Linked DNA regions of Lepisosteus oculatus. The protein of the gene in region 2 purifies or fractionates together with the protein of the main gene of each other region. This does not show direct contact. Links are inferred from orthologs where the notes say so. Each region holds a gene or a part of one and is shown on either strand. Other genes may lie near its edges. The genes, in order: tcp11l2, tubulin alpha-1A chain, hax1 and dnaJ homolog subfamily B member 6.

Region 1 (7,600 bases), on a different chromosome or scaffold from region 2:
ACTATACTGGTATCAGCAAAATCCACCTAAAAACAAATGAAATACATTTTACCAATAACTTCTCCTGCCTCTTTAATTCACACATGAAAAACAAAACTATCACTGTACACGTGAATCCACTATAGTCTTTCCTTAAAATGGTACATGCTACCATGTAACAAAAAAAATTGTATGATTCTTACTTCTGATAATTTCTTATTTACAGATTTCAATTTTCAGAACATTTTTGTTCCAAACATGGGGCACAATGGGACACAATTCTTATTCAATTCCAACAACAGACTATGAACATTCAATTTTAATGATCGATTTTCCACTCGTCAAACATCATATATTGTGCATCAAAAATATTTAGAACTTAAAACTATAATGAATTCACAAAGTCATTATCAGGAAAAAAAAGTCATGTATTGTAACAGGCAGGTACAGCACCAGATGTGGCAGGGGTAAATTCATGAGGCAGATTAACACTAGTCAGGGTTGTTACTGATTAAATCCTATCAACAAGGCTGATCAATATGGGGTCTACTGTGAAATTCACGTGCTAGTAACGTGAGTGGATATCACTGGAAGCAACACAAGCTGTACATCTGTGACACATGCTTTGCACCAGGTAGCAGATGATGTCGCATCTGTAGAGCCTGGGCCGGCACATGCTTGTTCCCTGGTCTCGGAGCCCTGGATGCCACACATTGTCCCTGCTCAGCCTGCAGACGTTCCATCCAGCTCGTTTTTGGCGAGTAGGATATCCATGGCATAACCGCACCGTTTCCACCTTGCCTGAAAGCTGCCGTCCCAGCAGCGACATGAGCCCGTGCTGTCCTGCTGGGACGCCGTCAGGTCAGGATGAGCCCTGCAGGAAGGGCAGTGACTGACATCACCGGACTTGATCAACGCAGTGCCGTGCAGTCAGGCTGCCATCAACGACTACACGCCCAGCTCTGTGGTGACTAGTAATGCCTGCCCTGTGCATCACACTTGGACCTCCCCATCTACTGACCCGGTGCACGTGACAATCCCATACTGTTCCGCACCACTGCGGGAGATGCGCTTGCCTCCAGGAGAGTGCTCTACTGTACACACACCTTCAGTGCTGCCGAGTCCACCCGAATGTACTCCGTTCAGCCTCCAACATACCAGGTTTCTCTCTTGTTAAGAAGGAAATAGCCATTCCTTCCTGCCACTTGCTTTCTTGGCTTCCACCGAGCTCGACAGGGCAGTACCTGACACGGCCAAGCCTGTCGCTGCTGAGGCGAGCTGACACCATTCGTGCAAACAGCCAAGATCAGTTGAATGCACGGGCCATGAGTGATCAAGAAATGAAAACGATGCCCCAACATTCAGAGTACACGTGCTTCGTTGTTCTAAAAACAAGCAGCTGGCCGGCGAAAGGAACAGAACGAACACGCTGTCCTGAAGTCACTGGCCCCAAGCAGACAGCCGGAAAGACGGCTCTCGTTTACCTTGTACATCTCCTTTCCAAACAGGTGATCCCACACTTTCCTCTGGACATCCCAATTTACCAAGTAGCCCTGGAAAACAAAGTGACTTTCATTTTCAGAACAACCACGAACACATTCAAAAGTAAATCATATATTACACAACCACTGTAAAATAATCTCATCAGTAGTCGCATTTAGTCGAGCGCTTGCAATCACATCTTTGCTCTTCCAACTTATATTAAACTTAAAGGTACAGTGTATACAAGGGATGCTTTAGCTAAAAACTGGCAGAAACAATATTAAAAGCTTAAATAAAGGCTGAGGCGGAGCCCACCTTCTGGAAAGGCAGGATGTAGAAGAGTCCCGACGGATCTTTTATTTCGTCGATCTGGTTGGCGGTGAACGTCTTCAGCCTCGCAGTTTTGGAGCGGAACTGACAGTTGGGGATCACGCTGGGGGAAACACAACGAACAGGCAGGAGGTAAAAGCTTCAGACTCGCGAACCGAGAAGGGCCAACACTGACGGTTCAGCCCATAACAGATCTCACAGACTACCAAAAGGGCCCATCAGCACTGCCTCGAATGTGAGCAACAACAAAACGTGATAAATGCGAAACGCCGTCACTCACAAGATCACTCCCGCGTGTCCTGAAATTTAAAAGCACAACAACGGAACCTCGTTAAGGCTCAGTGAAATAAGCTTGTGTTCCCCACTCTGTGTAACTGTGGTCTTATCCTCTGCAGGGAAGCCGAATAACTGATGAACCTGACATGACTTCATTTTACTGTAACCAAGGAGAGTAGCATTTGTCGTTAACAAAGCAGAAAGCCCACGATATATACAAGAACCCAAGCAAGGTGTCGTAAATTAAACCAACCTGACATTCTCATGGCTGTAACCAATTTTTGCGGTATAAGCCCCATTGTCAAGTACCAAAGTCGTCATTATTACAATAGCTGCCCGACTCGAAAGCGTTGATTTTTGTCTGGGAAAGTGTCCTCACTACAGCGCCGCTCCGCAGATTCAATCAATCGCATTTCAGGCTGCTGTCCGCCCGATAAAGGGGCCGTGTTGGAAACAAGCGCTTCACTTTGGTTCCACCTCGGGCAAGTGTTTTTGAAAAACAGCCACAGATATTTCAGTGTCGATTTCAAACCTTTCAAACCAAAGTAAAATAAATTCCTTTTCGTTAGTTCAGAACTGTTATTTATATATTCTGAAGCAGTGCGAGTAGGGAGCTGCGTCAGCATGCGTAGGCTGCAAAGGAACAAGTAAAGGTTTGTTCCCTGCTGAAAAGAGAAGAAAAGAAACACAACGTTTCACACACCTGAAGAAGGCTCCACAGCCAAAACGTTGTGTTTCTTTTCTTCTCTCTTCAGCATGGAATACACTTTTAGTTGTTCATTTATATATTCTTTTTTTTTAACTGAATGAGGACAGAGTTCCTTGCCTGCAGTACCTTCTTATGGCCGCTAGGTGCCACAGTTCAGCTCCCGTTTTAACTTCAATGAAGTCATAAGATAAGATTACTTTATTGGCTTGCTCTCCATGAGACACACAGACAGAGAGAAGCTTGGGGTCAGAGATTGTACGGCGCCCCTAGAGAAGTTGGGGTTAAGAGCAACTTAACCCCAACTATGGTATCATAGTTCCCTAACTATGATATCAGGCCACCACTTGTTAAGGCTGTTTTGCACAAAACTCTTACATTGGAGAAAAATAAGGTAAATAATAAGGGGAAATTTAACTAAAGTTGCATTACATGACATCTTCACAAGTCTAGACAAAGCACGAATCCAAAAGCAGCTAACAAAGACTTACAACAACTTATTTTGACACTTGCTGGAGCAGCCTGGGGAAAGACCGTTGCTCGGGGACACAGCAGTATGGCTCCAGTTAGGAGTTCTGAGCCCTAACCAGCATTCAACACCCCCACATGCTTGAGCTTTTCAAATATGCATCCATTCACATACAAAAGGAGGACTGTTTAACAAAAATAATCAAGCAAAGGATTCATCAAAGAAGATATTGTTGATCTGGAATCAGTCCAGAAAAAAAGCACTTAAATACATTCTGGCCCCTTTTCATCTTGAACAGAGAAGATTAAGAGACGAGCCGACACATGTATTTGAAGTCTGCAAAGGCACTGTCAAGGTCAACCCAGCAAGGGTCTTTGAAATAAAGAGTGAAACACGAACCAGAGGACACAAGAAGACACCACGTTGAAGTGCATTTAAACTGAGAACAGGAGGCTCTCTTTTGCACAAAGGGTTGTAGGGGTTTTGAACAAGGTACTCCTCTAAACTCTTCAATATGATACCCTGGCTTCTCTCAAGAAACAGCTGGATGGGTTCCTCAGATCAACTAGCTACTAACGACCAAACAGGCCAGATGGACCAGACAGCCCGGTTCCTTTCATTTTCAGGTACAAATGTCAAGTGAAGTTGACAGGAACGAATTTTCCACTGGATGAAAATGAGATCTTTTAAAAAAAGAGGGGATTCAGAATTATCTGACAATCGACACAATTAAACAAAACGGTTGCTTGTGTTATCAACGGTACCGTAATACAACACTTAGTACTGCACACTTCAAAACAATGATAAAAAAAAACATTTCCTTGTTTTATCTTCTTTCCTCGGGCGATCGATTCAACCTGCGTCACATCCGTAAACAAAGAACACTGTGCTCGAGGCGGCAGGTACCATCTTCGGCTTTAGATGAGGGAGAGTCGCCTTATTATCGTCATGCAGATGTAGCACTGATTTTACTAACCGGTGCACGAAAGGAAACAAATGAGAAGACTGATCACTTATATCATTATGTGTTGTTTGATATGCCTGGCACGCCCACGAAATATGGACAGGTTGAAAGAATGAAACGCGCGGTGACCCCCTTCAGACAGCCACCGATGGGCCATCCCGAGTGTAACATAAATAGTAGCGTGTTGGCCAGCTGGGACATCAGGATCTTTAAACTGTGCAGAGCGCAGCGTCCGGACACTAAGTATCTCTTCCCGAGATAGACACCTTAATATAGCTCTCCTTTGATACCGAGTCTCCGTTAGCAGGAGGCTTCTTAAAGGTAATTTAGCGACGACTTTTAACAATAATCAAGATTTCAGTCACTAATCTGGCTCTTTCGCGGGTCGGTGCCCTGTGTTCTTCGGTGTTTTGGGGGGAAGTTAAGGTACCGTTGGCTTTAAGAAAGAAGAAAAACTTGTTTGGGGAAATCTGTGGGCGGGCGCTGGTGATGCTAACGGCGAGGTGCTGTCTTAGCAGGAATAACGCGTTGTTTACTCCCGAGACAGCGCAGCGGGCCTTGAGAGCTGCCAGCGGTCGGGAACATCTGTGCGGTGTTTTCGGGGGAAAAAAAACAACTTGTAATCTGAGGTTTGTCTTCTTGTGTTGACTAAGCAGGTTATGTAGAGTAATAATCTTCTGGTTCTGATCCGTTTAGACGAAACAACAACATGTTGCAAGCTCAGCCGCGAGAAACCTTGTGCAAGAGGGTTACTGGTTGCGAGGGATTAGAGCATTTCTAGTCGGTTAGCCCGTAGACCCGGCGCTTTCCGACGGTAACCGTGCCGCCCTGTGGTGAGGCGACTGGACCTCGCCGTCCCTGCCCGGCTCGGTCCTGCGGGTCCGTCCCAGTTCTTGTTTTGGTGCTGGGGGCTCTGATCACGTGGGCCGCAGGGTGACGTAGGCGGGGCGGCTCGAGGAGGAGGAGGGGTATGGTTGCTAGGCTGCGCTCTGGCCTCCCCGCCGCGGGCCGCTCTGCGCGGCGGAGGGGCTGGTTTTCTCCGAACCCGCGCGGCGCTGTTCTCGAACCTTCCCCGTTCGCAGCCCGAGGACAAACAGGCTTCCTGCATCGCTCGCACAGCCTGGGTGCGCTATATACAGCCTGGGTGCGCCCTGCCTACAGCCTGTACGCCCTATATACTATACAGCCTGGGTGCGCCCTGCCTACAGCCTGTACGCCCTATATACTGTACAGCCTGGGTGCGCTATATGCAGCCTGGGTGCGCCCTGCCTACACCCTGTACGCCCTATATACTGTACAGCCTGGGTGCGCTATATACAGCCTGGGTGCGCCCTGCCTACACCCTGTACGCCCTATATACTGTACAGCCTGGGTGCGCTATATACAAGCGCGAGTCCCGCAGTATCCTGTGCGTCTGGAGCCTCAGGCGCAGATCGGATCAGATCCCACCCCGTGTTATGGTGCTGGGATCGAACTGCAGACCTGGCCGGCTTGCGCGCTGCTGTGTCTGAAGAGCTCACTCGCATGTAGCGAGACGCAGCGTCCTCAGTTGCCTGCGCGGTACCGCGAAGGAATCAATTAAAAAAACAAAATGTGTGTGTTGGGGGGGGGGATTTAGTAGCATCACTGAAACGTAGGGTATATCTTTCTTTAAAACGGAGACCTCTGGTTTGCGCCATGGTGTCCCACTCCAGCGCTGGCAGCACTTTGTGAAACTCGGGCAATACTTCATGCTGCGCATGAGGGTAATGGATATCTGTCGTGTCGCTAGTTTCGACCCGAAATCGTTCCAAAAGCGGTAACTTTTTTCCGGGCTGCCTCGGTCAGGTCAGGGCGAAGCCACACGTCAGGACCTCGTCGTGCTGCCGGCGGCTCGCTAACGTGTTTCATGGCCCCTCGCCTTGACATCTCGTGTGGGAGACCCGGCCGGGCCGCAGCGCCGGTTTGTTTACAGAGTCCCGGCCGTTGCCATGGTCACCGAGCAGCTGTTCCAGCGGGGCCGCGTGACTCCCGGGGTCACGGGGTGACGAACGCCCCCCCACGCGCGTTCTGGCGGCGGCGGTAGTAAACATAAGCATCGTCTGCTCCGGTTTTTGTCGCATAGGCAGCCGCCGCCGCTCATGTGCAGCGTTGTGGTCAGTGAACGGCGCTATAAACGGCACAGTGGAGGCAGGTCCGGCAAAATAAACGAGCGGACTTGCTGATGGTCTTGAGCAGCGGCCTGCGCGACGGGATGAAACACACGGAGATGAAAGTGTCGGCTCTCCCGGCCATAGATTCCATAGATAAGGGAGCCTGAAAGTGGGGTTTGGGGTCGGTCGACAGGTGGGGGGAGAAACGCACGCACGCACGCGTGGGCTGTTGCGGTCGCGCTGAGGTTCACGGGCGGCGGCGCCTCTCCGGTCCCCCACGCAGGACGCGATGCCTCTCCAGGACGAGCGCCCCTCCGCCAGCTCGGACCCGGAGACGGAGCAGGACGCGGGCCCCGCGGTGCGGCGCGACAGTACGGGCTCCTCCAGCGACGGCGAGAGCTCCCGGCGCAGCTTCAGCAGCGACGCCTCCAGCCGGCTCAGCTCCCCGGCCTGTGAGTCCCTCCGGAGAGGACGTACCCCTGCGTGCTCGCCGTGTCCTCCGCGCCGTCCTGGCCTCTTTAGTAGTAATAATAATTGTTTACACTTATATAGCGCTTCTCTGCACACTCCACTCAAAGCTCTTTACAGGTAATGGGGATCCCCTCCACCACCACCAGTGTGCAGCCCCACCTGGATGATGCGACAGCAGCCACAGTGCACCAGTTCACTCCCCACACACCAGCTCTCAGTGGGGAGGAGAGCAGAGTGATGGAGCCAGTTTATAGATGGGGATTATTAGGAGGCCATGACTGTTAAAGGCCAGGGGGAAATTTGACCAGGACGCTGGGGTAACTCTTTTTCTCTTTTCGAGAAACACTCTGGGATTTTTAATGACCCCAGAGAGTCAGGACCTCAGTTTTATATCTCATTCCGAAGGACAGCCCTGTTCCTGTCACTACTCTGGGGCATTAGGGCCCACACGGACCTCAGGGTGAGCGCCCCCTGCTGGCCCCACTCACACCTTTTCCAGCAGCAGCCTTAGTTTTTCCCAGGAGTCTCCCAGCCAGGTACTGGCCAGGCTCACACCTGCTGAGCTCCAGGGGGCTGCCGGCTGGGAGTGATACAGCTGCTGGCTGTACTGTACACACAACTGTGGGTTGACGGACAAGAGTGAAGACCCTCGCTCATGTCTGAGTGGTACAGCTATTTTACAGTAGTGCTAGAACTCTGCAGTAAGTGGCCTCTCATGGGGATGTGTGTGTGTGTGTTTTTTTTATTTCTAGCAAGCCCCCCGAAACCCGGGACGTTCGACGAGCTGATGG
Region 2 (8,061 bases):
TCACACAGTAAATCAGGTCTCCCCTCTGTAAGTAAGTAACAAATAACCATCATTCAAAACAGGGTAGCCTATCTTAGTATGTGCTTTGAAAGGAACAATGAAAGTAATATATTCTTTAAAAAAATACTCCAATATTGCACCTCAGCTGCCCCTACTCACCCACTGTTCTATGGCGTTGTGTAAAGGTTGACACAGGTTCTCCTTATCTCAGTGCGTAGTCCTCAGTCAGAAGATAAAAATGTCAAATTGACTGTTCAAGTACTAGTTTGTTTGGAGTTGCCAATGCATCAGTTGTGATTAAACAGACAGCTGCCCCCAAAACAAAGCCAGTCTCTATAGATTTCTTTCCATGACACTGACACTTCTATAGACACCTTTTCAGGGACACTGATAAAGAAATGACATTCTTCAGGAAGGCAGCGACAAGACCGCTGTATTGGCAGACTGAATGTCAGTTATGGGCCAACACCACTGACAGACTCCGACTGGTTTTCCTTCTCTCCACCATTGCCGACTCCAGGGCCAGAAGCCCAGAAGCTCTGGCTCTGGGATTGACTGAAATCCACAGCTGAGCAAGGAGGACTGAGGGATAACATAACATCACTTTATTAGCCCTATACAATTTCTTGCATTAGGAATTTGTCTTTTTGCATACCCCAGCTTGCTCTCCATGAGTACCCCTGGAGCAGTTGGGGTTAAGGGCCTTGCTCAGGGGCCCAACGGAGTAGGATTCCTCTGCTGGCCGCAGGATTTGAACCAGCAACCTTCCAGCCACAGGCACAGATCCTTAGCCACAGAGCCACCACTCCGCCCTTATCACTCAGTGATAATGAGTGACCACTGAGTATCAATCACACAGCCAGCTCCTGTCCGGGAACCCTTTTACACAAGGCAGGTTTCCGTCTAAATGCAGACATTTTAAAAAACATTTTGCACAATTAACAAATCAGAAGGTGAATCCGTGGTTGGTATGTACTGTCAGTTAGTGACATTTTTGGCTTCAACAGATTTACAAGACATAACACGTGAAGGGTGATCTATGAGACCCGCTGGACTGTGTCTCTGCAAGGCCAGTGCTGATGCCATCTTTGAATTAGGCTGTGAGAGGGAGAGAGCACAGTAACGCCAACGCCACAAGCTCAGCAATGCCTGGCAACAGAAGGGCATATTACAAGACACCCACTGACATGCCAGACAGCTTCAGCTTGTACGGTTTGTAGAAACACCATGCAATTAGTAACAGCTGTGGGACAACAAGGTACAAAATAAATGAAACTGTGAATTCCAAACATGAAAACAATCACTTTAAAAGCCCAGATCTGGTGTGTGACTGGAGAGGGTCAGGAGTATGTCAGGCTATGTCTTGGGCGTTCTTTTCCTTTCCTATTCCTCTGCGCTACGTGTGAAACATGTCACAGGACTCCTGTCCCTTCTCGCTGGTGTAGGATGGTCAATGTGAGGAGCTCTGCCAGGGTGAGGGCGCGATGGGAGTGTCTTTATTTCCTCCGCCGAAGCTGCCCCCACCTCTCCTCATCTGCACTGTCATTCAATATCGGCCACGTGACCCACCGACTGCTAAAAGGGGGCTTTATGAAGCCTGATGTAGCATCTCCTGGGCTCTTACTGGTATCCTAGCAACTGAGCTATTCATTGCCTAGCAACTACAGGATACTGAGAAGGGGGCTAGGGGGTAGCCTTTCTCCTTCTTTGACTTTGTGTGTGCTGGGGCAAGATGGTCCAGACTGGCAGCCGGCCCTCTGGGTGCTGAAGAGATGGGATGTCATCTGCTTTGAGTAGTGTGTTCCAGACCCCCACAACCTTTAGTGTAAAGAGCTGTCTCCTGTTCTCGGGCGTAAATACACTGCCCCTTAGCTTCCAGAGCCTTTTCAGCAGCTCTGTGTGGTGCAATAGTCAATCAAGATGGGAAAAGACACCCTAAGTAGAAATGGCAGCGGGGAGTGGCTTATGGTAGAGTGATAAAACACAGTGATGAAAAGCAGAAATATTATAATAATCCAGATGAAGTCTGATACTTGTACATGATGCTGCTTAGCTTCAGGGCTTTCATATACAGCACGGGCTGACATGGCCTCCGCAACGTTGGTTTAAATTACTTCCAACTGAAATATTAATGTCTGCATAAATATTTCATCTGTATTGAGGGCTTTCCTAAAGACAAATTGCACCCCGAATCGCACAGTCATTGCAATCTACAAACTGCAGTTCTTTCTGCGATATTCAGGTCGGATTAACCAGTACTTTTCTCCCCAAAGGCGAGACTGGACAGTTCGTTCTAGGGCAAGGGTGGTGTGAAGTACAACTAAGCCAGTGGTACAGCAGTTTTTATTTTTTAGCTCTAAAAAACGTATATTGGAAACATGCAGTGAGCATTACACGTTTGGCTCTCACCCCAGCACATGGGGTGTCTTTGTTACCCGGCACTCGGTAGACACCCGGGAGCAGAGCCGCCACGGGGCCCGCGCTCGCTTCACACTCGGCGCCTTTGTGGCACGGCCGCGCGCCGCCATGGGCGTGCACCTGCGGCGCAGACTCCGCGCTTCTTGCAGAAACATTTCATCAGGAAAACCGCTGTAAAGGGTCCTTTTATAGAAACGTGATCTATATATATAGGGTTTTTACAATCGATGCTGACTGCTGACTTCTGCTTGCTTCAAGGGCAAGATAATGGAGCGCACGTGACGGCTAACGTACGGAAGAGCAGATTTTTATATCGCGACTTTTCTTTTTAATTTAGTGAAACCGATGCATTATAATAGATTTATTATGAAAGAAGAATACGGGAGTGTCTCTAATGAAAAATTGTTGAATTATTAAAAATTATAAACATTAAAAGCTATGGAAATTGGAGCCCAGTCAGAGACAGCGAGGTTTCACGGGAACAAAGGATGGGTAGCCAACTAAACACAGCCATGGGCGTCGCCGAATGTATGAGACTGTTACACCGCACGTTTATCGGGAACAGCAATCCGACAGAGCATGCAGTCATCACGTACAGCGCGCTGTCGCTTAGTCATCATAATTTAATACTTAAGCCCTTCGATCGCCTGTATAATTCAGCTGGTGTGCAGGCTCTTCCTGCGTGCTCCTCCGGCGCGGGCTGTCGGTTGCCCGGTCCTGTGGGAGCCGCAGGTGCGAGGGTGCCGGCTCTGTAGTGGGGGCGGGGCGGGCGCCCCAGATGAAAGCAGATGGCGCGTGGAGGAAGCCGCCTGAAGCCTGGAGCTAATATGCGGATACTGTGGGGGAGGCAACACAGCACATCTTCGGGTCCTGAAATATATATGCACTTAACTAAAGGTTTTATCATTCAGCTTTCTAAAATCGCTAAAACTATACAGATTTTTTTTTAATGAGGTAAGAAACTGCTTCACACCACCAATGTGCAGCAGTGGAGCAGTGGTTCAGGAGAGTCCCCATTACCTGTAGAGCGCTTTGAGTGGAGTGTCCATAAAAGTGCTATATAAGTGTAAGCAATTATTATTATTATTATAAAATGCGCCCAGGATTAGGGCCTACAAAATCTGTATCTGCTGGACTTGTGTGGCTCACAGCCGATGACAAAGTGCATCCAGCAGAACTCACACACATTACACACATTAAATGGGCGTATTTCTTTAATCTTAGATCATCTGTTTTCAGAGAGAGATTCCTGTTAAAAACAATAATCATCTCAGGCCTGCCTTCTGTCAGGCTAAGTGTCTCTGTCAGCCGGGAGCAGATCAAGTCACCGATGGCCGAGTGGGTTTAGTTCAGCGGTGGGTCAGTATGGCTGCGAGGGGCTGGCTACCAGTCCAGAGTGCAGTCGCGCCCCGAGACCCCTGATATCGGGAGCAGCTCGGGTCCTGCGAACGTTGCCCGGAAAGGGTGCTTTTCTGATTACGGGTGGACCTCGTCATCCCTCACGGGAGTCGATTTTCAGCCCCCCACACTAACCCAGAAGGTGACCCCAGGCGGAAGAGGGGCTTGTCCTCTAACATCACCTTTCACCCCCCGCCAGATTAAAGATAACACTGATCTTTTCTTATGATGCATTTTTAAAAAATACTAATGCTTCACGACTTGACACAGTTGAATTACTTCTGTAGGTACTGGGACCCTCCAAGTATTAATTACATATCTCAATTGATAGACTTTCTAATCAGTCATGAACTATGCGTCACGGTCCTGTAGTAATAGTATCACAATTAATTAGTTCAGGTGGGGAGCTGCGTCAGCATGTGCAGGCTGCAAAGGAACAAGTAAAGGTTTATTCCACACTGAAAAGAGAAGAGAGAACATACAACGTTTCGGCTGTGGAGCCAGAAGGAGCCAAAAAGCTCCACAGCCGAAACGTTGTGTTTTCTCTCTTCTCTTTTCAGCATGGATTAAACCTATTGTTCACAATTAATTATACACTTTGCTGATATAAAATATGGCAGAATATCCCCTAAATGCATCAATCCATGTGTATCACTAGTCCTCTTCAGAGATATGCCTCCTCCATTAGTGTTGCTAGACCATGATGAACTGATGCTGTTAATGCTTTACCCAAGTGAGCGACAGATAACTGTTTTCTCTATTGTCCGGACAAGGTGGGGGTCGGCAGGAGGGGCTTGTCCGGCCGGGGTGGTGCCTTAACCAATGGGAAATCAGATCCGCCGAGGTCTCCGGGCAGACAGCAGACACGTCGCCCAATGATAAAATCGCAGGCGCAGTCGCCACGGCAACGCATGTATATAATAAGCCGTTCACACCCATGTGCTTCACGTTCTCTTGCATCGACCTCCTTGCTGTCGGGTTGTGAGAAGACTCTCTGAACGGGCTCTTTCCCCCTCGCTCGCCTGCCAGACAAGAACTCCAGACGGCATAGAAAATGGTAAGGCGAGGGGTTTCACATTTCGGAACAATGGGGTTCCTTTGCTACCTTGCGTGTTGAAAGGAAAATGGTAGTCTGAGCTGTAGAAAGAAAGAGCAGCACTGTGGAGTTTTCTGGAGTGCGCGGCGAGGCTGGCTGTCTTGTCGCTGTAACTTGTCACCCTGCTCAGAGGGGTCCGCTTCATGTGCTGAACAGACGTGGAAGGGGTGGTGGGGGCGGGATTTTTGGAAGGGTAAAGCATTTTCACGACTAGGGCAGTTGCTTTTGTAGAAAATGCATTATAGAAAAAATCCAAATAACGAGATGACGGGGAAACAAGAGTATTTTGACGTACTGCCAGCGGCACACGGAGCTGTCTGAAATTGTGCGATGCCGGAACCCCTCGCCTCTAAGGCTCCAGTAACAATAGACCAGTGTTGGCCTCACTGGCGAGGACTGGGCTATGTGGTCCGAGAAACCCCGTCTCAGACAAAGGCGCACTTGACAGGAATGCGCTGTGAGCGGAATAAATTATCTGGGACACATCTGGGTGTTCCCCGCCTCTCGCAGTAAGACGTCCTGTCACTTCGGATTTTACAACCCCCACGCCCGTCCGTTTCTTGGATAAATCACAGAAATGGGAACGGACAGGTGTGTGTTTTCTATTTTTTTTTAAGTTTGAAGTCGAATGGATGGAGCTGTCGAGGACAACAGAAATGCGAGCCGACTTGGCACGCACTTCATCCGTCAGCGGCAGCGCGGCGCCTGAAAAAAAGACCGAAAGCCGGTTTGTTTTCATGTGAAGTGCTCTCCAGAGCACTAAAATGTCACACAGCTTCCGCTGCGCGTTGTCAGGGCGGCTGTCCGTGTGTCCGTTTCGGACCCCGGGGAGTGCTGTGGCCGGCGCCGAGATGGAGCAGAACCCCAGCGCGCGCCGCCTGGCTCGGGCGCGCGGCGCTCCGAACGCGCCGTCCTTTGTCTGGCGCGCTCTCACCCCCACCCATTATGTGCGTGAGCTCGCGCCAGCCGCCCCGAGCGCCGCGCAGGCTGGATCGTTCCTCCAGAGCTCCAAGCCTTGCACACAGCCAGCCAGCCAGCCAGCGAGCGCAGACTGGTACCCAAACCTTCGTGTTCGACTCTTTCAAGTATTAAGGGTCTTCTGCAGTTCGGCTCCGCTCTCTTGCTGTGCTTTTGTTAACCGGGTCAAGCAATGATTCCATGAAGTAAAAGCAAGGCTCTTTGTCTTGGATGTACAGTAGCATAACTGCCCGACAGCGGTATACATTTTCAGTGAAAAGAGTTGTGGTCCACACTAATATGAAGAGAGTAGCCCACATGGTAACACCTGCTTGTAGACTGTCAAGAGGGCAGGAGGCCTGCTGGAGTTACGATGGAGGTTTTTCCTCAAAGGGCTCATTATTGTGCTGCTCACTAGAGCACAATTCAGTACTGTGGCTGGGAAGGAGAAAAACGAGAAGATGCCTCTTTTTTTATAAAAGAAAACAAAGGATTTAGGTCAAACTACTCGGCAGAAAATCAACTGGGGAAAAAGGGCCAGGCTTTGTAAAGGTCTGTAACTATTAAAGAAAAACGTATTAAGATGGAATCAGTACAGAAATACAGATGAGTTGTTGAAAAACGGCTCTTGCAAGAAGGCCAATCACTAATAAAGAAAAAATAACAGCAGGAAATAATGCTTGGTAATTTGTCAGTAAATACTGGACTGGATTATAAATCAGCCTTTTCTTACACTATTTAAAAGTCCTAAGGCGTCCCTTCTTAAAGTTTAAAGTAAACAGATAAGCGTTTACATTAAAAGGTGAGATTTCTATGGATTTGTCTTTCTGTGCAGAACAGCAGCCTGATCAAAATATTTTAAATACTGAAATAGTGTTAAAATAGTCTAACCGAGGCAGTTAAATCAATGTCATTGATCAAGTAAATTAGAGAGGAAATCAAGATTGATGCATTGCAGGTGGTTGACACTGTATCCAAGCTGAGGTCACAGAAATGAGTAAGTTACAGGATTCTTCCTCTTCTGATCTTCAGCCAGCACAGTTCCTCCTGTTAACTGATCTCTTTCTCTCTTCACAGCGTGAGTGCATCTCCATCCATGTCGGCCAGGCTGGTGTCCAGATTGGCAATGCCTGCTGGGAGCTCTACTGCCTGGAGCACGGGATCCAGCCGGATGGCCAGATGCCCAGTGACAAGACCATCGGAGGCGGCGACGACTCCTTCAACACCTTCTTCAGCGAGACCGGAGCGGGCAAGCACGTCCCGAGAGCTGTCTTCGTAGACCTGGAGCCCACAGTCATCGGTAAGCTCTGCAGGCTGTGGAGTGGAGGGGGATCAGGGCTGTTCCTCTTCCTCCCTGCTCCAGAGCCCCTGAGCTCACAGCCCTTCACCCGTCTCTCCCCAGATGAGGTGCGCACTGGAACCTACCGCCAGCTGTTCCACCCTGAGCAGCTCATCACTGGCAAGGAGGATGCTGCCAACAACTACGCCCGTGGGCACTACACCATCGGCAAAGAGATCATCGACCTGGTGCTGGACAGGATCCGCAAACTGGTGGGTATCTGAATGAATGTTGAACAGCCCAAACCACCCGTGTTAAGAATTAAAAAGATTGAATGGAGAGCACGTCTGTCTTCTGCAGTAGTCAACCAGATGCATCTTCTCTCTCCAGGCTGACCAGTGCACAGGTCTGCAGGGCTTCCTGGTCTTCCACAGCTTTGGAGGTGGTACCGGTTCTGGTTTCACCTCTCTGCTGATGGAACGCCTGTCTGTCGACTATGGCAAGAAGTCCAAGCTGGAGTTCTCCATCTACCCAGCTCCCCAGGTGTCCACAGCTGTGGTGGAGCCCTACAACTCCATCCTGACCACCCACACCACCCTGGAGCACTCCGACTGTGCCTTCATGGTCGACAACGAGGCCATTTATGACATCTGCCGCAGGAACCTCGATATCGAGCGCCCCACCTACACCAACCTCAACAGGCTCATCGGCCAGATCGTGTCCTCTATCACAGCCTCCCTCCGATTCGATGGTGCCCTCAATGTTGATCTGACCGAGTTCCAGACCAACTTGGTGCCCTACCCTCGTATCCACTTCCCACTGGCCACCTATGCCCCTGTTATCTCTGCAGAGAAAGCCTACCATGAGCAGCTTTCTGTGGCTGAGATCACCAATGCCTGCTTTGAGCCGGCCA
Region 3 (7,826 bases), on a different chromosome or scaffold from region 2:
CCCAAGTCCGCGTGGGTTTCCTCCCGCAGTCCAGAGACAGGCTGGTGGGGTAACTGGCTTCTGGGAAAACTGGGCCTGGTGTATGAGTGTGAGTGTGAGTGTGAGTGTGAGTGTGAGTGCTGGGAGAGGCTCTGACTCCCCCGTGACCCTGTACTGGATGAAACAGTGAGAAAATGACAAACCATTTACTGAAGGATCCAGGGACTCTCACTTCAACAACACAGCTGGGCAGCTTGTTCCAGGCACCTGCTACCCTTCCTGTAGTGCTGTGTCTTCCCCTCGCCTGACGACATTTAACGTGTCACGCACGGGAGAAAAACACACGGCCCTATTCACCAGCCCCCCTCTCTCTCCCCCCCCAGTCTGGCGGACCTGTGCGGCTTGGGGGGCGCAGACGACTGGGACGACTCCGACGCGGAGGACAGCCGGTCGCTCCGCTCCGCCTCCCTGAGCTCCAGCATGTCCTCCGCCCTGTCCATGGTGTCCATCATCCCTCACGACGAGCTGGAGAGCCTGCTGGACGACGTGAGGGCGGCGGGGGAGGAGACCCTGGCGGTAAGCCCCGCCCATGTCCCCGCCCACACGTGCACAAGCCTCACCTACTGGTGCACTGGCGCACGTGTGTGCGTGAGCACGTGCACGATTCCCGGACTCCTGCAGGAGTGGAGCACAATGACTGGGCACGGGACGTTGTCTTTTATGTAGCATTTATTTGTGCCGTCCGAGAGCTTTTGAAAGTCTCTCTATGTGTGCAAAACATATCTCCATGGATGTAAAGAAATTTTGTGAGAAATCAGACAAAGTATTACTGCACGCGTGTATATTACGAAAATTCTCGGACTCACAGCATGTACTGTACAGAATTGTTCATGTCCACTTTCTCTTTCTCTCTCCCTGCTGTTCCCACACTCTCTACTCTCTGGCCTCATCTCCCCGTCTCTGCCTCCTCCTCGCTCTCAGAACTGTGAGGATATCCAGGTGGTGGTCCTGCACAAGGAGGCGGGCTCTGGGCTGGGCTTCACCGTGGCCGGGGGAGTGGATCAGAACAAGCCTGTGACTGTGAGTGCACACTGTCTCTGTGTGTCTCTCTATGGCTGTGAGTGGACACACTCTCTATGTGTCTCTCTATGAGTGGACACTGTCTCTGTGTGTCTGTCTGTGACTGTGAGTGCACACTGTCTCTGTGTGTCTCACTATGGCTGTGAGTGGACACTGTCTCTGTGTGTCTCTCTATGAGTGCACACTGTCTCTGTGTGTCTGCCTGTGACTGTGAGTGCACACTGTCTCTGTGTGTCTGTCTGTGACTGTGAGTGCACACTGTCTCTGTGTGTCTCTCTATGGCTGTGAGTGGACACTGTCTCTGTGTGTCTCTCTATGAGTGCACACTGTCTCTGTGTGTCTGTCTGTGACTGTGAGTGCACACTGTCTCTGTGTGTCTCTCTATGGCTGTGAGTGGACACTGTCTCTGTGTGTCTCTCTATGAGTGGAAACTGTTTCTGTCTCCTCATCCTTCTGCGTGACTCTGTGTCAGAGTGTCTCCCAGCTTCTGCGTCCGTCTCTTGTCTTCTGCTGTGTCCCCTGTCACGTCTCGCATCTGGGCCCAGATGTGGTTCCCCCCCGCACCCCGCAGTGTCCACGGCTCGGCACTCCGCTGTCCGGCCAGGGGGCAGTGAGCTCCCTGCGCACGGCCGGTCCGGACCGTAATAACGGGAGCGTCCGGCTGTGTCCGCAGGTCCACCGGGTGTTCCCCTGCGGCCTGGCGGCCCAGGAAGGCTCCATCCGCGAGGGCGACCGCGTGCTGTCCATCAACGGCACTGCGCTGCAGGCGGCCGCCCACTGGGAGGCGCTGCGGACACTGCGGAGGGCGAGGTCCCGAGAGCAGGCCATCGTGGTGCTCCGGAAGGGGACCTGCACCCCCGCCGCCACCGCCGAGCCCCAGGGCACCCAGCCCCACGGCCTCCCCACGGGTGACGGTGGGTATCCAGACCAGAACCAGGCCGCGGACCCAACTGCCCCACACAGCTCCTTTGCATGGCAGCTGGCAGCCCACTGGAGCTCAGGTGTGAGTCTGCCCAGCTCCTGGATGGGAGACTGCTGCTGGAGGAGGTGTTAGTGAGGCCAGCAGGGGGCGCTCACCCTGCGGTCTGTGTGGGTCCTAATGCTCCATTATTGTGACTGGGACACTATGTAGACTGTAAAAAGGCGCCGTCCTTCGGATGAGACATAATACTGAGGTCCTGACTCTCTGTGGGCATTAAAAATTCCAGGGCGTTTCTCCAAAAAGAGTAGGGGTGTTAATCCTGGTGTCCAGGCCAAATGTCCCCTGGTGGTAGTGGAGGGGATCCCCATTACCTGTAAAGCACTTTGAGTGGTGTCCAGAAAAGCGCAAGGAATGATCATTTATGTTGTAACTACATTTCACTGTAACAGTGAGCACGACAGTGTAATAAGCATGTTCTTGCTTGAGACCCGCACTGGTCAAAGTGGCTCCTAGAAACAGGATTTATCCCCGTTTCTAAGGTGTTCAGTGGAATAAACAGTACAGGTTTCCTCCTTTAGGGGTTCACCCCAGCCACTGGTGTGGGTACCCACTGATAGGGCTGTGAAGGCAGGATAGTACAGCGCCATAATGAGACAGGCCAGATTTGAACCCGCAACCTTTTGAAAACAGGTTCAGAGCACTAGCTGCAGCTCCACGCTACCCCCTTCAGTGCATAAAGGAAAGTGTAATATGGTGAGGGAATTAGGGCTTATTACTGTGTAATAGATGTCATATTACTATGTAATAGATGTCATATTACCACAGGATGTGTAATGGCAGGAGTGTAATGGCCTCCTTGTGGTTCATCCCTGCAGCCCAGCCAGGGAAGACCGTGCATCTGATCCTCACCAAGAGCTCCTCGGACCTGGGCTTCAGCCTGGAGGGGGGGCGCGGGTCCAACCAGGGGGACAGGCCCCTCACCGTCAAGAAGGTCTTCCCAGGTAAGACGCCGACGGGCAACGTCAGGCTCCCGAGCGTCACTTTAGCGCACTGCTGTCATGTTCCCTTCCTGGCCCTCCCACTTTTTATTCACCTGCCCTCCCTCCCTCCTTCCTGTCTTCCTGTCTCCCTGTCTCCTGCCCGTCTTCCCAGGCGGCCCCGTCGACCAGGTGCTCCCCGGAGACGAGGTCCTGGAGGTGAAAGGTCGGAGCCTGCGGGGCTTGAGGAGGCTGGAGGCCTGGAACTGGATCAAGATGCTGCCCCCTGGGCCGGTGGAGGTGTTACTGCAGCGCCCCTGCAGACTGTAGGGAGAGGAGGAAGAGAGAGGGATGAGCTTGTCTGGCCCTGTAACCAGCACATGGGGGACAGGGGTTCAGGGCACAGAGAGAGAGGGGAGACAGGGGTTCAGGGCACAGAGAGAGAGAGGAATTCAGGGCAGAGAGAGCAGTGATAAGATTCAGACATGAACACAGGCAGAAAATCAGGAAGCTACACAGAGCAGCTGAATGAAGAGGGGGACAAGAATTTGCAGCAATTCATGTTTCAGCATCTTTTAACATTTTGTATAACAATCTTAAAAAAACAAAAAAAATGGCTTGTTAATAATATCTTGTTAACGTCCCCTAAAATCAAAATCTTAATTATAAACTTTTGTGCTTGCTTTAAATAAATGTGTTGTAATTCAGTTTTGGATTGTGTGTTACTTTTTCTCCATCTACGACGTTCATTTTATACGAATATCAAACTACAGTTCAGTAGAGCCCAGTGAGATCAGGGTAAAAGCACAGTACAGTGCAGTACAACCCAGTGAGATCAGGGTAAAAGCACAGTACAGTGCAGTAGAGCCCAGTGAGATCAGGGTAAAAGCACAGTACAGAGCAGTATAGCCCAGCAAGATCAGGGTAAAAGCAGAGTACAGAGCAGTACAGCCCAGCGAGATCAGGGTAAAAGCACAGTACAGTGCAGTAAAGCCCAGTGAGATCAGGTTAAAAGCACAGTACAGTGCAGTAAAGCCCAGTGAGATCAGGGTAAAAGCACAGTACAGTGCAGTACAAATGTGGTGAACAGCTGTAGTCTAAGCCTCGTGTCCGTTCTCAAACTTAATGAGAATTAATCAGCCACATTCTTCACTGCACATGCTTGTGAACGAACAGCAGGTTGTTTGCCTGTAAGGCAACCTTTTTTTTCTTTGAGCTGGCTGAAGCGGTACGTCGGGATTTTTCTCCAGTGATTAATCAGAAACCAGATTCGAGCACTGTGAATAACGCTGACTCCTACACCACCCCCCCTCGGCCTCTAGCTTGCTTTTGTGCTGTAATGTTTACGACACACCGCCCGTGCCCTCCGCGTTGTAACTTACAGCAATAATCGTCACTTTCCGGCAGTGTGTCATTACGGCCAAGTTCAGTTACGGCAGTGTGGCACGTTCGTTTTCCTTCTCCGCGTCCTTGTAAGAAGAAGCGAGCAAGAGCTTTATGCCAAAATAAAGTATTAAGCCACAAAGACGATTTTTTATTTAAAAGGAAATCTGTCAGATGAGCTTGTTTGACTTGTTTCGCGGTTTTTTCGGGTTCCCGAGAGGCAGTTACCCCGGAGATAGACGGAGGTGAGTTAGTATTGCAGTTGTCAAACAGATGTTTACCCTGTTTTGAAAATGCTTTACTTTTGAAGTGTTATTTTTAATATTTTAAAAACGGCCTGGAAAGGCGCTTTTAAGGGAAACCACGGCTGGAAATACCGGTTATCTAAAGTTACAAATTCCGACGTGAACTAATACACGACATTTTGTTGGTTATATCATCTCGGTGCGTTATCAAGACCCTAATACTGGTAATTCCGTCGTTACTGACGAGGATGACGACAGACTCTTAAAGTATTGCTCATGTTGTGTACGTCTAGTGTTCTGGAACTGGACTTAATTATGTAGCACAAATAACTTTGAGACTGCCGAGAACAATTCCGCTCTGAAGTATCGGAAGGGAATAACTACATAACTGAGTAATTCACTCGTCACTTGAGCAAGTCCATTAGAGACTGAGCACCCCACGAGCTGTTAGCCGTTTGCTTATTAGGTTTTAGCTGACGTCTAACATTTCAGTTACTCAGAAACCACGATGGAGCCGCTTTGAAGAAAGCTTTTTTGCATTTTTTAAATTATTTTCCATTGTTTTTTTTTAAATATTTGCTTGCTTGTTGCTTCTTGTTGATGTTTTACTACGTTAACACACCGGTAAAGTTTCCGCCACTAGAGGGCGCCCGGCCTCTTTTCTCTTCTCTCCTCCTCCTCCTCCTCTCCCCACCTCTGTTGCTGTCTCCCTCTTCCTTGTTTCCTGTCCTTTCACATTTTTCTCCATCCATCCATTTTCTAAACGATTAATCCAGGACAGGGAGGGTCACAGGGGAGCTGGAGTCTATCCTAGCAAGCAAAGGGCACGAGGCGGGGTACACCCTGGACAGGACACCAGTCCATCGCCGGGCACACAGACACACACACCCTGGACAGGACACCAGTCCATCGCCGGGCACACAGACACACACACCCTGGACAGGACACCAGTCCATCGCAGGACACACAGACATACACACACACACGCCCTGGACAGGACACCAGTCCATCACAGGACACACGGACGCACACAAACCCTGGACGGGATGCCAGTCCATCGCAGGACACACAGACACACACACCCTGGACAGGACACCAGTCCATCGCAGGACACACAGACTCTCACACTGACACCAGGGCTGATTTGCCCCAGAGCCCAGCAGCATGTCTTTAGACTGCGAGAGGAAGCGTAGCACCTGGAGGAAACCCATATGAGCCTCCAGAGAGAGCATGCAGACTCCACACAGACAGTGCCCCGGGTTCGGGGTTGACCACTGGGAGCCACCGTGCCGCCCCTTTCGCCTTCCCGGTGTAAACTCCGTGCTCTCGCTATCCCACAATCCCTCCACACGCCGGCGCTGATCTCTCTGTCAACCCCCCCCCCCCCCTCCTCTGGCGCTCCAGGGACCCGTTCTTCGAGGGCATGACGCGAGATGATGACGATGACGACGACGACGAGGGCGAAGACGAGGAGGCGCTGCGGTTCGGGTTCAGCTTCGGCCCCGGCGGGATGCACTTCGAGGAGCCGGCGGCGTTCCGGGAGCTGTTCCGCGAGGTGGAGGAGCTGCTGGCCGGCGTGGGCCGCTGGGACGGCCTGCCCAGCTCCACCCCCTTCGGTGAGCCGCCTGGCGACGCCCCTTCGGGTGGGGGTGGCGTGCTGCAGTCCTTAAAGACGTGAACACCCAGGGTTCAGTTCCTGGAGTACTGTCTGGGAGGAGTTTGCATGTTCTCCCTGATTTTGTGAGTGTGTTTCTTACCACAGTCCAACCACCCAATAGAAGGTTCATTGGCTTCTGAGGGACATGGCGTTGGTGTGAGTGTCTGTGTCTGTCTATGCTCTGATGGACTGGTGTCCTGTCCAGGGTCTGTGTGCCCTCTGATTGACTGGTGTCCTGTCCAAGGTGTGGCTGTGTGTCCGTCAATGGACTGGTGTCCTGTCCGTTGCGTGTGCGTATCCATCTGTCCGTCCATCCGTCCGTCCTCTGATGGACTGCTGTGCTGTCCAGGGTGTGTGTGTGTGTGTGTGTGTGTCTGATAGATTGGTGTCCTGTCCAGGGTGTAGCTTGCCTTGCCTGTTGCTTGCTGGGATAGGCTCCAGCTCCCCCATGATCCTGAATTGGTTGAAGTGTTTAGAAAATGGATGGATGAGGAACCAGTGGATAGGTGTGCTTAAGCGTGTGTGGATGTGCTCATGCGTGTGCGTGTGATGTGTTGGTTCCTAGCACACTGCACCCCGTACTGTACTGTGTTCCTGTACAGTGCAGGTGTCTTCTGTTCCCTCCTGCTGCCTGGATGTGTCCTGTTAGTTCCCCACCGGATCCTCATGCTCTCTCCCCTCTCTGCTCCCCAGCGATCCCCAGTATCGAGGCGCCGGGGCGGCAGGAGCGCGGCAGGTCTCCGAGGGACTTCATGCTGAGACACCCCGACAGCACCCCGTCCTCTGACCAGGGGGACAGGGAGCCCCCCTCAGGGCCCTTCTCCAAGGTGAGAGCCCTTCTTCAGGAGGGTGTTGATCGACCTGGCTCTGTGTCCGCTGCCCCTGTGCTGTCCTACTGTATTCCACTCCCTCCCTGTCACTGCGCAGTTCTGCTGTCTCCTCTCTGTGCGTGTGTCTTTTCTGGGAAGCCACTTTTAAAGGTGCTTTAGAAAATAATAATAATAATAATAGCCTCAATAATAATGATAATGATAATAATAATTACTATGATCATGTTGCGATCCGAAGTGATTGTGAGGATGAAGGGGGATGTTGTGGTTTTTCTCTCTTGCACCCGATTGCAGCGCTGCTGGTGTGGGCAGGGCAGGGCGGGGTGGGGTGGGGTGGAGGGGGGCAGTAGGGGTGCGTGGATGAGCGGACGGAGGGGTCAGGGGTCAGTGCTGAAGGAAGAGTCGTTTCGGAGTGCCTGTTGTATTAATCCTCTTCAAGCCCTGATGTTCTGATGGGCTTTGGGTCACTAAGCCTCCCTCCTCTTCCTCTCCCAGTTCGATGACGTCTGGCGGGGGGGCCTGTGGAGGGCGGAAGAGGGGGAGCCCCTGAAGCAGGACGGAGGTAAGAGACCTTGAGGGGTGTGGTGTGGTGGGGTGGGGGGGCCCCTGAGACCCTCAGCCCCACGAGGCCTGTGGGTGTTGCCAGTTCTAACCCAGGTCTCGGGTGTCGCAGTGGGAGTGTGGTTGGGTGTGGTTAGACTTGTCTCCTCCTCTCTTGGTTTTTCGGGGGGGGGGGGGACTGCAGCCCCTCGC
Region 4 (8,424 bases), on a different chromosome or scaffold from region 2:
AGTTTAGTTTTAATTCCTAATGTATGTCAGCATGTATTTGTATGATCCAAATGCATTTGGAACACTACATTTAACACCGTTCCACACAACCCCTTTTTCCCCCCTGCAGGGTTAAGGTACCGCTGATGCGAGGTTTTCGTGGAATGTAACCTTCCCATAAAACGGGGGACGCCTGTACAAGTCCAGCCCCCCCTCATGTTAGCAAGACAGATAAGCAAGGTCAGTTCTGTACTTCAGGGCTCACTCGCTTATCTGCTTCCAACTCACAGTGTCCAGACAACGATACAACAGTACAGATAAGCAGTAGCCCACGCTAATGTCCACCAACCACTTGTGTAACATGTCCAACACATAATCCCTCGATCACAACGCATGGATTGTGACATCAAAACAGATGCCCCTGAACCAAAGGGATTCCCATCCCTAAAACTGCTGCTGCTGTTTTATTTAACTGGGATGCAAGTCTCAAGATCTTGCGTCAGGACAGAAAGTCTGTACATCACTGACAGAAGTCCAATTAGTTAATGTGATGTAAATGACAGTTCAGTGCAAACAGATCACATACCTTGTCTAAATTACATTTCTGTTTATTCAACAAATGTGCAATCTCAGAATTATACTTCTTAAGTCCATTTCTGCTGTTTCTCCAACATTTTTTTCAGCTTGTTTATAGTTAAGAAATTAAGTAATGCCTCTAAAAGGTAGCCTTAAACACAGGGAAAAAGGTTAAATACGTCATGACATTTTATAAATTATATATAATTAATGACCAAATAAAATAAAAGTTTCTGGGTTCACAATCCTCTTATCTTCCAGACAAGGAAAGAGCAGATCTGGTTTATTTCCTCATGTGACCACTCCATTAATCACGGTGCGCTTTATCATTTCATGAAGGCAGCTGGCCCAACACACAGATACAAAGGCCTCATCTCCAACAGTCCTGAATTACGCAAACAAGAGAGCATCATGCAGGTCAATACGCTGACTTTTAGACTATAGCCTTACTCCCCTGAAACCGAAAGTCTTGATGGAAGGTCCTTCTCTCACAATCCATCACACTGTATGATTTTATGTTAAAAGCGGGATAGGATTAGCGTTTGCAACTTTACCACCATCTTTAGAACTGGTGCAAGACAACCTATCTTTACACAACCAAAACTACCTCTCAAAGATACTGGCAAGCCAGCTACTTCATACGTAGCCAGCAAACTATCTAAGTGTCTATGTTAAAGACATTCAATACACTTTGAAGTGCTTGCTCCAGAAACCAAACACAGATCTCAGAAGCAACACTTTTCAAATGGCTTGAACAGAAATATACCATTTGCTAAGAAACTGTATCGCTGGGTCTCATGGCTGTGTGTGTAATATAGGCACCAGTAACAGCAGCTCTTTCCTAATAAAGCACAGAGGGGACTTTAGAAATGAATCCATAGATTGAGTGCAAACCTGTTGAAAAGTAACACATTTAAAGCACTGTAGCAATGGCTTTTCTGTGCCACATGCACAGGGTATTAAGTGGATTAAGAGGACATCCACAACCGGGAATGTATTCTGGTGTCAACCGCAGCTCACTAAAGCGTACTCCCTCATGCTAATACACGAGCAGACGTTATGAAAATCTTGAAATTTGCTTAAATCAACACAAATGTCCCCTACAGCTATTCAGGTTTTTTTTTTTTACTGTAGAAAAGTCCAAATAGTGACAGCTCAGCAGCAGTTTTACCTAATTTCACACGCGGTGTCAAAACTAGACCGGCACACACATTTTTCAAAAGGGCAGAAGTAACTCTTCCTCGCCCCGGATTCGCACGGAAAGCTCTCCCGGCGTCAGCAAAGGAAATGTTTACAAATCGAAAATAACAACAGCCCTAAAGCCAAAGAGGGAACTGAAAAGAAGAGCCACAAACCGAGGGCCGTGTCTCAGCATTTAACAAATCAGCCCATCACGAAAAGTTCAGGTGGATGCCACTCATTGGTGGTGGTGGAGGGGAGTCCCCATTACCTGTGAAGCGTTTTGAGTGGAGTGTCCAGAAAAGCGCTATATAAGTGTAACCAATTATTATTATTATTATTATTATTATAAGTCACAGACTGTAAACTACAGCCAGCCTCACGTGTACTCTGAGGAGAGGGAAGGAGAAAGTGCCCCATGGACGCAGGGGCAAGACTACCTTCATTTGAACCGGCTAATCCAGTCCAGGGACCAGGGCGACAGGGATACACGGTTCTCGGCGCCTGCCGGTGTGGACAGGGGGGGTCTTTAGTGGGGACGTCCCCACACTCATCCAGACACGCCTCGGTCTTCGGTGCGGATTGAAAACACCGGTGTACAAAGCCAACCGCAGGCGGGCCCAAGCCGTGTAGTACCTCCCGACACCGCTTGCCTCGCAAAACAAAAACACTGGTTACGTCCAGTTTTGCCTTTATGCCCCGCCGACATCCTAAGAGCGGCCCTGTCAACAGCGATAACATTGCTCACAGAGAGCAGCAGGTACTGGCGTTGGTCACTGGCCGCGGTGAGGGGCAGCGACACCAAAAACACAGTCACCCCGGGTCGACCCGGACCTGGGTTCACCCAGTGCGGTCCGTGCTGCGAGGTTTCTCTTTGAGAGGTGTTTTGCTCGAAATGGGGTTCCCAGCTCACGCACGTACTAAATCCAATACTCGCATCTAAGAGCAATTAAGGGACGACGCGACTCTTCAATCATGAAATACTTCACAGCAGAACCGGGGCGGCGGGGGGAGGGAGAGAGAGAGAGTGTCTACGAACCCACCATCCTCGTAATCAGGGGAGACCCCGTGTTTTGAGGGGGACACTTTCCTCACCACTATCCTGGAGGACAAAAGATCCTCCCCCCCCCGCCAATCTCTGCCGTTTTCACGCTTTCGGGGTTCTAGTCATACAGACTCCGGGGACCGACCCCCCCGGATGAACAACCCTCCCCCGATATCGCTGCGACACGCACGGGCATATATTTCTCTGGATCACATCTTAACCAGCTCGGCAAATGTATTCAGAGCACGCAGTATTTGCACTCTCCCTTCGCCATCCTCCACGACGTGCACTCACTACGCACAAACGCAACCGTCGGCGGTCAGGACAACATCAGACACAGACTCACCTCCCCGTTCGGCTACCAAGACCTCCCTTTTGTTGCTGTTGTTTTATACTGTATAGTGTACGTTTTGTACTCTAAAGGCGCCGCACAAGAGCAACTTCTGGTGCCCCTGCTTGTTCCTCGGCACTTGTAACGTCACTTCCTGCTACAGCCAAAGCCGCAAACTCTAATGGGGGGAGGAGGGGAATTTATCTTTGAAATGTTCTGGAAATTTGTGGTTGACGTGAACCGGCGTCTGCTTTGTCGTCTTTAATGTTGTGGTTAATAATATTTATTTTGCCAGATCCCTTCATACACAAAATACAAACGCGCTACCCACATAAAACCATTTCCAGAATGTTCTGTAGTAATCAAAATAGGACGGACGTGTACTGATGTTCTTACCTGTGGTATTTGTGAGGCATTTTGAGATTTTTGGATTAAGAGTATAGAAGAATTACCCTTTATACGTGTGCTTTAATTTGTGTGTTTCTTACGTAAAAAGTATAGCATATTGCAATTTGTGTGTATTACAGCACAACAGTATAGTATTGTGATACACTAGTGTAGTACTATACAATTTACTATAGTGCTCACTACAGTACGTTACTACAAGGCCTACACTATTACAGTCACGTTCTGTAATATGTTGTGTAGTACTATAGTTCTGTGCTTAATAACCACACAGGTTGATTCTTGCATTTGTAGATTGTTTTTCTTATCAAAGGATTGTGGATTGTAAATTGTAGAATTAATCTATATCGATGCCATAGGAATACCATGTATTATATACTGAATACACGTTATATACTTATATAACATGGGTATGTCATATATACTAATACTTTATAGTTTATGGACATAACAACTACTTGCATGGAATTAATCTATATCAATGCCATAGGAACACCATGTTTTATATACTGAATACACGTTATATATTATATAACATGGGTATGTCATATATACTAATACTTTATAGTTTATTGACATAACAACTACTTGCATGGAATTTGGTTCAGTGAGCACATACAGAGGTTGAGCAGAGTGGGAAGGGTTGGCTAGGATCTTAGAGATCAGAGAATTCAGAGAATTTTGTGTTTCAATTTCAAGAGGCAGAGGGAAGGTGGCATCCTTTAAATTTGGAGGCGATATACAGTACATGACTTGTCCTGGGCAGAAGTGTTGCCATACCACGCAGTGAGGGAGTGAGGGAGAAGCTCAAAACACTCTCAGTGTGGAAAAGGGTCATTGCTTCTTGTGACACTCCAGAATTCTTCAGCTGTGTCAGGAAGAACAGCCTTTGGTGAGCTTTCTTGACCAGGAACTTAAAATTCTCCACCACGTCCACAGCCTGACCAGTGATGAATAGTGCTCTTTTGCTTTGCCTAAAGTTCTTTTATTTTGCTGACATTTTGTTCCAGTTTGTTTAGGCTACACCAATCAATTAATTCAGCTATTTCATTCCTGTTTACTGATTCATCATCGTTTGTGGTGAGCCCTACAGGAGTAGCGTCATCAGGAAACTTGAACATTTTTTACAGAATCTGAATGTGAAATACAGTCATTTGTAAACAGAAAGTAAAGCAAAGATGATAAGACACAACCCTGATGAGCTCCTGTGCTCCTAATACTCATAATACAGTAATACATGTGCTATAGTGTGTTAGATATACTGTAGAATAAAAACATATTCAATTTACAGTGCAATATTATACAGCACTCACAGTATTCATATAAACATTATATATTTTGCTTATACATTATTTTGCTTAAAATGTTACTTCAGTAAATGTCAACCTCCTATACCTATCAACTCCACCACATTTTGGAATAGTAAGCTTTTATAACATGGATAGCACAATACGTAATGCACGTCTTTATGCTGGGATATTCTCTAATAGAGTAGTTTTATATTAGCATAACCTTTAAGAGCCAGAATTAAAAACCGTCACAATAGTTTTAATTTCTGTAGATTTTAGATATAGTGCCATAGAAATGCTCTCAAAAAAACAAACAGACACTATTGGTTCTCCTACCTTGCATAGCATTATTAATGCATTTCTGTATATGTTGTACATTTACTTTAAAAAGATTATAAAATAAAAAATCACAAGAAACACAAACAATTAAATTAGAATAACTAAAAAGAAATACAATTGACTTACTCACAGGAACACCTTTTCAAAATAGATTTTAAATGTTGACAGCTGCATAGTCCCTATATGAGTTGTGGGGATATTTAAACTTAAGTTTTACAAGATATGCTTGTACAGTATAAGGAAATAAGCAGTGGATGTCAAAGGAACATTAATACATTAAGTTAACAAAGTTTTTTATGCATTCCCAGTTAAATTGAATTTTATGATAAAATATTTAAAGTATAAAAATAAAATCTAAACACTACATATTGTATGGTACAGAACTTCAAATTTGCAGTAGTTAATAAAATGTTAGAGAATGGCTTTGAACCAGGGGTCAGAGGACCTCAGAAACACAGGTAGACTTTTCACCCATTTTCTTACTCTTATATAGTGCTTTTCTGGACACTCCACTCAAAGCACTTTACAGGTAATGTGGACTCCCCTCCACCACCACCAATGAGCGGCATCACCTGGATGATGTGAGCCAAAGTGCAGCCAAACTGCACCAGTACACTCCAGCACACACCAGCTATCAGTGGAGAGGAGAATACCGTGATGAAGCCAATTCATAGATGGGGAGTTTTAGGAGGCCATGACTGGTAAAGGCCAGGGGGGGAATTTAGTCAGAACTCCAGGGTAGCAATACTACTCTTTCTGAAAACTACTTTATAGTGGCTTTATGATTTCAGAATAAATGCACCTGTCCCTGGAATGTTCCTCTGTCAGGCAGTGAGTGTGAAGTAAAGATTCAACTATGAAGGCCTAACAGAAACAACCCTATCACTGAGACACTGCCTAGATCAGACTATACCGTTAAAGCAGGTGGGCAAGGAAGAAAATGGTTCAGGATGTCATCGTAAAGCCAGTTTTGACCTTGAAAGAGCAACAGACTTCAATGGCTGAGATGGGAGAAAGCTATCCATGAATCAATATCTCAGTCTCTCCACAAAGCTGGTCTGCATGGCAGAGTAAAAGGAAGGGAGCTATTTTTGGTCCAAATGCAAAGCGAAATATCTAGTTGCCTAGTCAAAGTCACAATTTCAATCTAATAGTACATATGTAGCAAGACTTGAAATTGCTGTCCTTTTTCAATCCCTGCCAACCTTACATCGCTGCCTCCCAGCTCTGGGGCCCTGGGTCCTGGATTTGGGGTATTTTCAGTGTGGAAAACTTTCTGTGTGTTTGTGTGTTATCCATGTTTTTGTGTGGGTTTCCCCCCGATGTTGTGGTTTCATTCCACAGCCCAGAAGCATATTGGTAGGTTAATTGACTAAGGGTGGAAAATACGCCCTAGGTGTGAATATGTCTGCCCTGCAATGGCTTAGTGTCCTTCTAGGATGCATCCTTCCTTATGACTACTGCTTGCTGAGATAGGCTCTGGCTCCTTTGCAACCCTGAACTGGGTCAGACCCCATGTTATCCTTCACAAGGAAAATTGTCACATGTTCAAAGCTATCAAGATTGTTGATACCAGTTCAAATACAAACTTCCTATGAAATCTGTCATGAACACTTAGACCTCTGTCACAAAGGCACAGACAGCTTCTTTTGTTTTCCCTTGAGGATTGTTATTAGCAATGAAAAGAGAGGCTGCCACTGAGATCTTAGAAGAAAGGCGATCTAAGCAGCATCTCTAGAAATGTTTTCAGCAATCAGTTTGTGTGACACTGACAGCTTCTGCAACTGGAATTCATGCCACAGAAAATATTTCTCACTGCCAAAAGCTATTTGATGAAGAAGTATTTCTGTAATGCAATCACCAGAACAGTTTGAGAACAACCTGGTTAAATGTCTCCTTATTCTTCATGACAGAGCAAAAGTCACGTAAGGTTCAATCTGCCATTAGCAACTGTAGTTTTGAGGAACTGAATCATCCACCATACAGGCATTATTTCACTTTCAGGGACTGTATATTTTTTCTTCAGAAGTTTGAAATTTGAAAAGGTTTGGTGGAGAAGACCATTTGTGAAATTGAAGAAGTATGTCAGTGTGGGTTGAAATCCACTTCTGTTCTCAGACTTGGTTCTAGAATACAGAATTCAAAAAACAATAACTAGACCAGGGATGCTGTTGACAAATAATGGAAATAAACTGCAGCTTGGTTTAGACAGATTACATTTTTAGTAACCCTGCCCCCCATATGTATTTGGCTAGGATTTCAAATCTTTTCATAAATTCAATCAAGGCTATTTTAAATAATTGAACCTCCCCTGAAGCACAAATGCATGGGCATTCATAAGTAAATTCCAACTGTCCAAACTGAATTGACTGTCCAAATGAAAAAGAATCATCCTTATTTTTCATTGAAATGTGTTGCTTAAGAAAGCAACTGAAGACAACTATTCAGAAACACATGGAAACAGCAAAACCCTACTACCAGCCAGCAGCCATATCACCCTGTAACTTACAACTTGTAACCCACTGCTAAGCAGGTGTGAACCTGGTCAGTACCTGGATGGGAGACTTCCTAGGAAAATGTAAGGTTTCTGCTGGAGGAGGTGTTAGTGGGGCCAGCAGGGGGCGCTCACCCTGTGGTCTGTGCGAGTCCTGATGAGGACACTATACTGTAAAAAGGTGCCATCCTTCAGATGAGATGTAAAACCAAGATCCTTACGTTCTGTGGTCATTAAAAATCCCAGGACATTTCTCAAAAAGAGTAGGGATGTAACCTCTGTGTCCTGGCCAAATTTCCCATGGGCCTTTATCAATCATAGCCTCCTAATAATCCCCTTCTATGAATTGGCCTCATCACTCTGTTCTACTCCCACTGATAGCTGATGTGTGGTGAGTGTTTTGGCCCAGATCGGTGGTGGTGGAGGGGAGTCCTCATTACCTGTAAAACGAGTGTAGTGCCCAGAAAAGCACTATATAAGTGTAAAGAATAATTATTATTATTACTAAATTTAGAAACACTTAATGTTTAATTGTGTTCCAATTGGCCTGTGATAAAAACTCAGCCCACTACTTACATTTCTTGTACCACGGTTCATCTCTGCCTAGAAATTACAAAACCAGGGAGACAGTGTCAGCAGTGTTAGAGAAGGTGACAGACAAACAACTCACCGAAAGAGCACCACCTGCTTTATAAACAAGGATGAAACCAAGGAGCTCATTCAAATCACTCAATGCCATCTGCTGTCAAGGTCTCAGAATTGCAGCTAGAACATTTATAGTCTGAGC

What was found.
Region 1: the proteins of tubulin alpha-1A chain (region 2) and tcp11l2 purify together in Homo sapiens (affinity purification with mass spectrometry; 3 studies listed by BioGRID and IntAct, counting the BioPlex papers as one, with this or other methods). This does not show direct contact. The link is inferred for Lepisosteus oculatus from reciprocal best matches to the Homo sapiens genes TUBA1A and TCP11L2.
Region 3: the proteins of tubulin alpha-1A chain (region 2) and hax1 purify together in Homo sapiens (affinity purification with mass spectrometry; 3 studies listed by BioGRID and IntAct, with this or other methods). This does not show direct contact. The link is inferred for Lepisosteus oculatus from reciprocal best matches to the Homo sapiens genes TUBA1A and HAX1.
Region 4: the proteins of tubulin alpha-1A chain (region 2) and dnaJ homolog subfamily B member 6 purify together in Homo sapiens (pull-down; 3 studies listed by BioGRID and IntAct, with this or other methods). This does not show direct contact. The link is inferred for Lepisosteus oculatus from reciprocal best matches to the Homo sapiens genes TUBA1A and DNAJB6.

What each region holds. Positions count from the first base shown.
Region 1 is NC_090702.1:55,180,553-55,188,152, forward strand, and holds the start of tcp11l2 (T-complex protein 11-like protein 2), read left to right. Parts: upstream 1-4,392; 5' UTR 4,393-4,527; intron 4,528-4,575; exon of another isoform or gene 4,576-4,835; intron 4,836-6,621; 5' UTR 6,622-6,627; coding exon 6,628-6,790; intron 6,791-7,561; coding exon 7,562-7,600. Other genes in the region: actr6 (actin-related protein 6), read right to left, coding at 1-26, 1,464-1,532, 1,777-1,894, 2,321-2,388. UniProt on the Homo sapiens protein: Promotes the migration of muscle-derived satellite cells (MDSCs) during differentiation throught interaction with FMNL2 and therefore may participate in microfilament assembly.
Region 2 is NC_090696.1:15,178,477-15,186,537, forward strand, and holds the start of tubulin alpha-1A chain, read left to right. Parts: upstream 1-4,752; 5' UTR 4,753-4,870; coding exon 4,871-4,873; intron 4,874-6,946; coding exon 6,947-7,169; intron 7,170-7,271; coding exon 7,272-7,420; intron 7,421-7,538; coding exon 7,539-8,061. UniProt on the Homo sapiens protein: Tubulin is the major constituent of microtubules, a cylinder consisting of laterally associated linear protofilaments composed of alpha- and beta-tubulin heterodimers.
Region 3 is NC_090722.1:5,809,505-5,817,330, forward strand, and holds the start of hax1 (HCLS1-associated protein X-1), read left to right. Parts: upstream 1-4,372; 5' UTR 4,373-4,515; coding exon 4,516-4,586; intron 4,587-4,888; exon of another isoform or gene 4,889-4,978; intron 4,979-5,990; coding exon 5,991-6,202; intron 6,203-6,936; coding exon 6,937-7,070; intron 7,071-7,568; coding exon 7,569-7,635; intron 7,636-7,826. Other genes in the region: pro-interleukin-16, read left to right, coding at 363-555, 961-1,059, 1,733-1,973, 2,857-2,982, 3,134-3,288. UniProt on the Homo sapiens protein: Recruits the Arp2/3 complex to the cell cortex and regulates reorganization of the cortical actin cytoskeleton via its interaction with KCNC3 and the Arp2/3 complex. Slows down the rate of inactivation of KCNC3 channels. Promotes GNA13-mediated cell migration.
Region 4 is NC_090701.1:12,328,879-12,337,302, reverse strand, and holds the start of dnaJ homolog subfamily B member 6, read right to left. Parts: upstream 3,272-8,424; 5' UTR 3,126-3,271; intron 1-3,125. UniProt on the Homo sapiens protein: Has a stimulatory effect on the ATPase activity of HSP70 in a dose-dependent and time-dependent manner and hence acts as a co-chaperone of HSP70. Plays an indispensable role in the organization of KRT8/KRT18 filaments.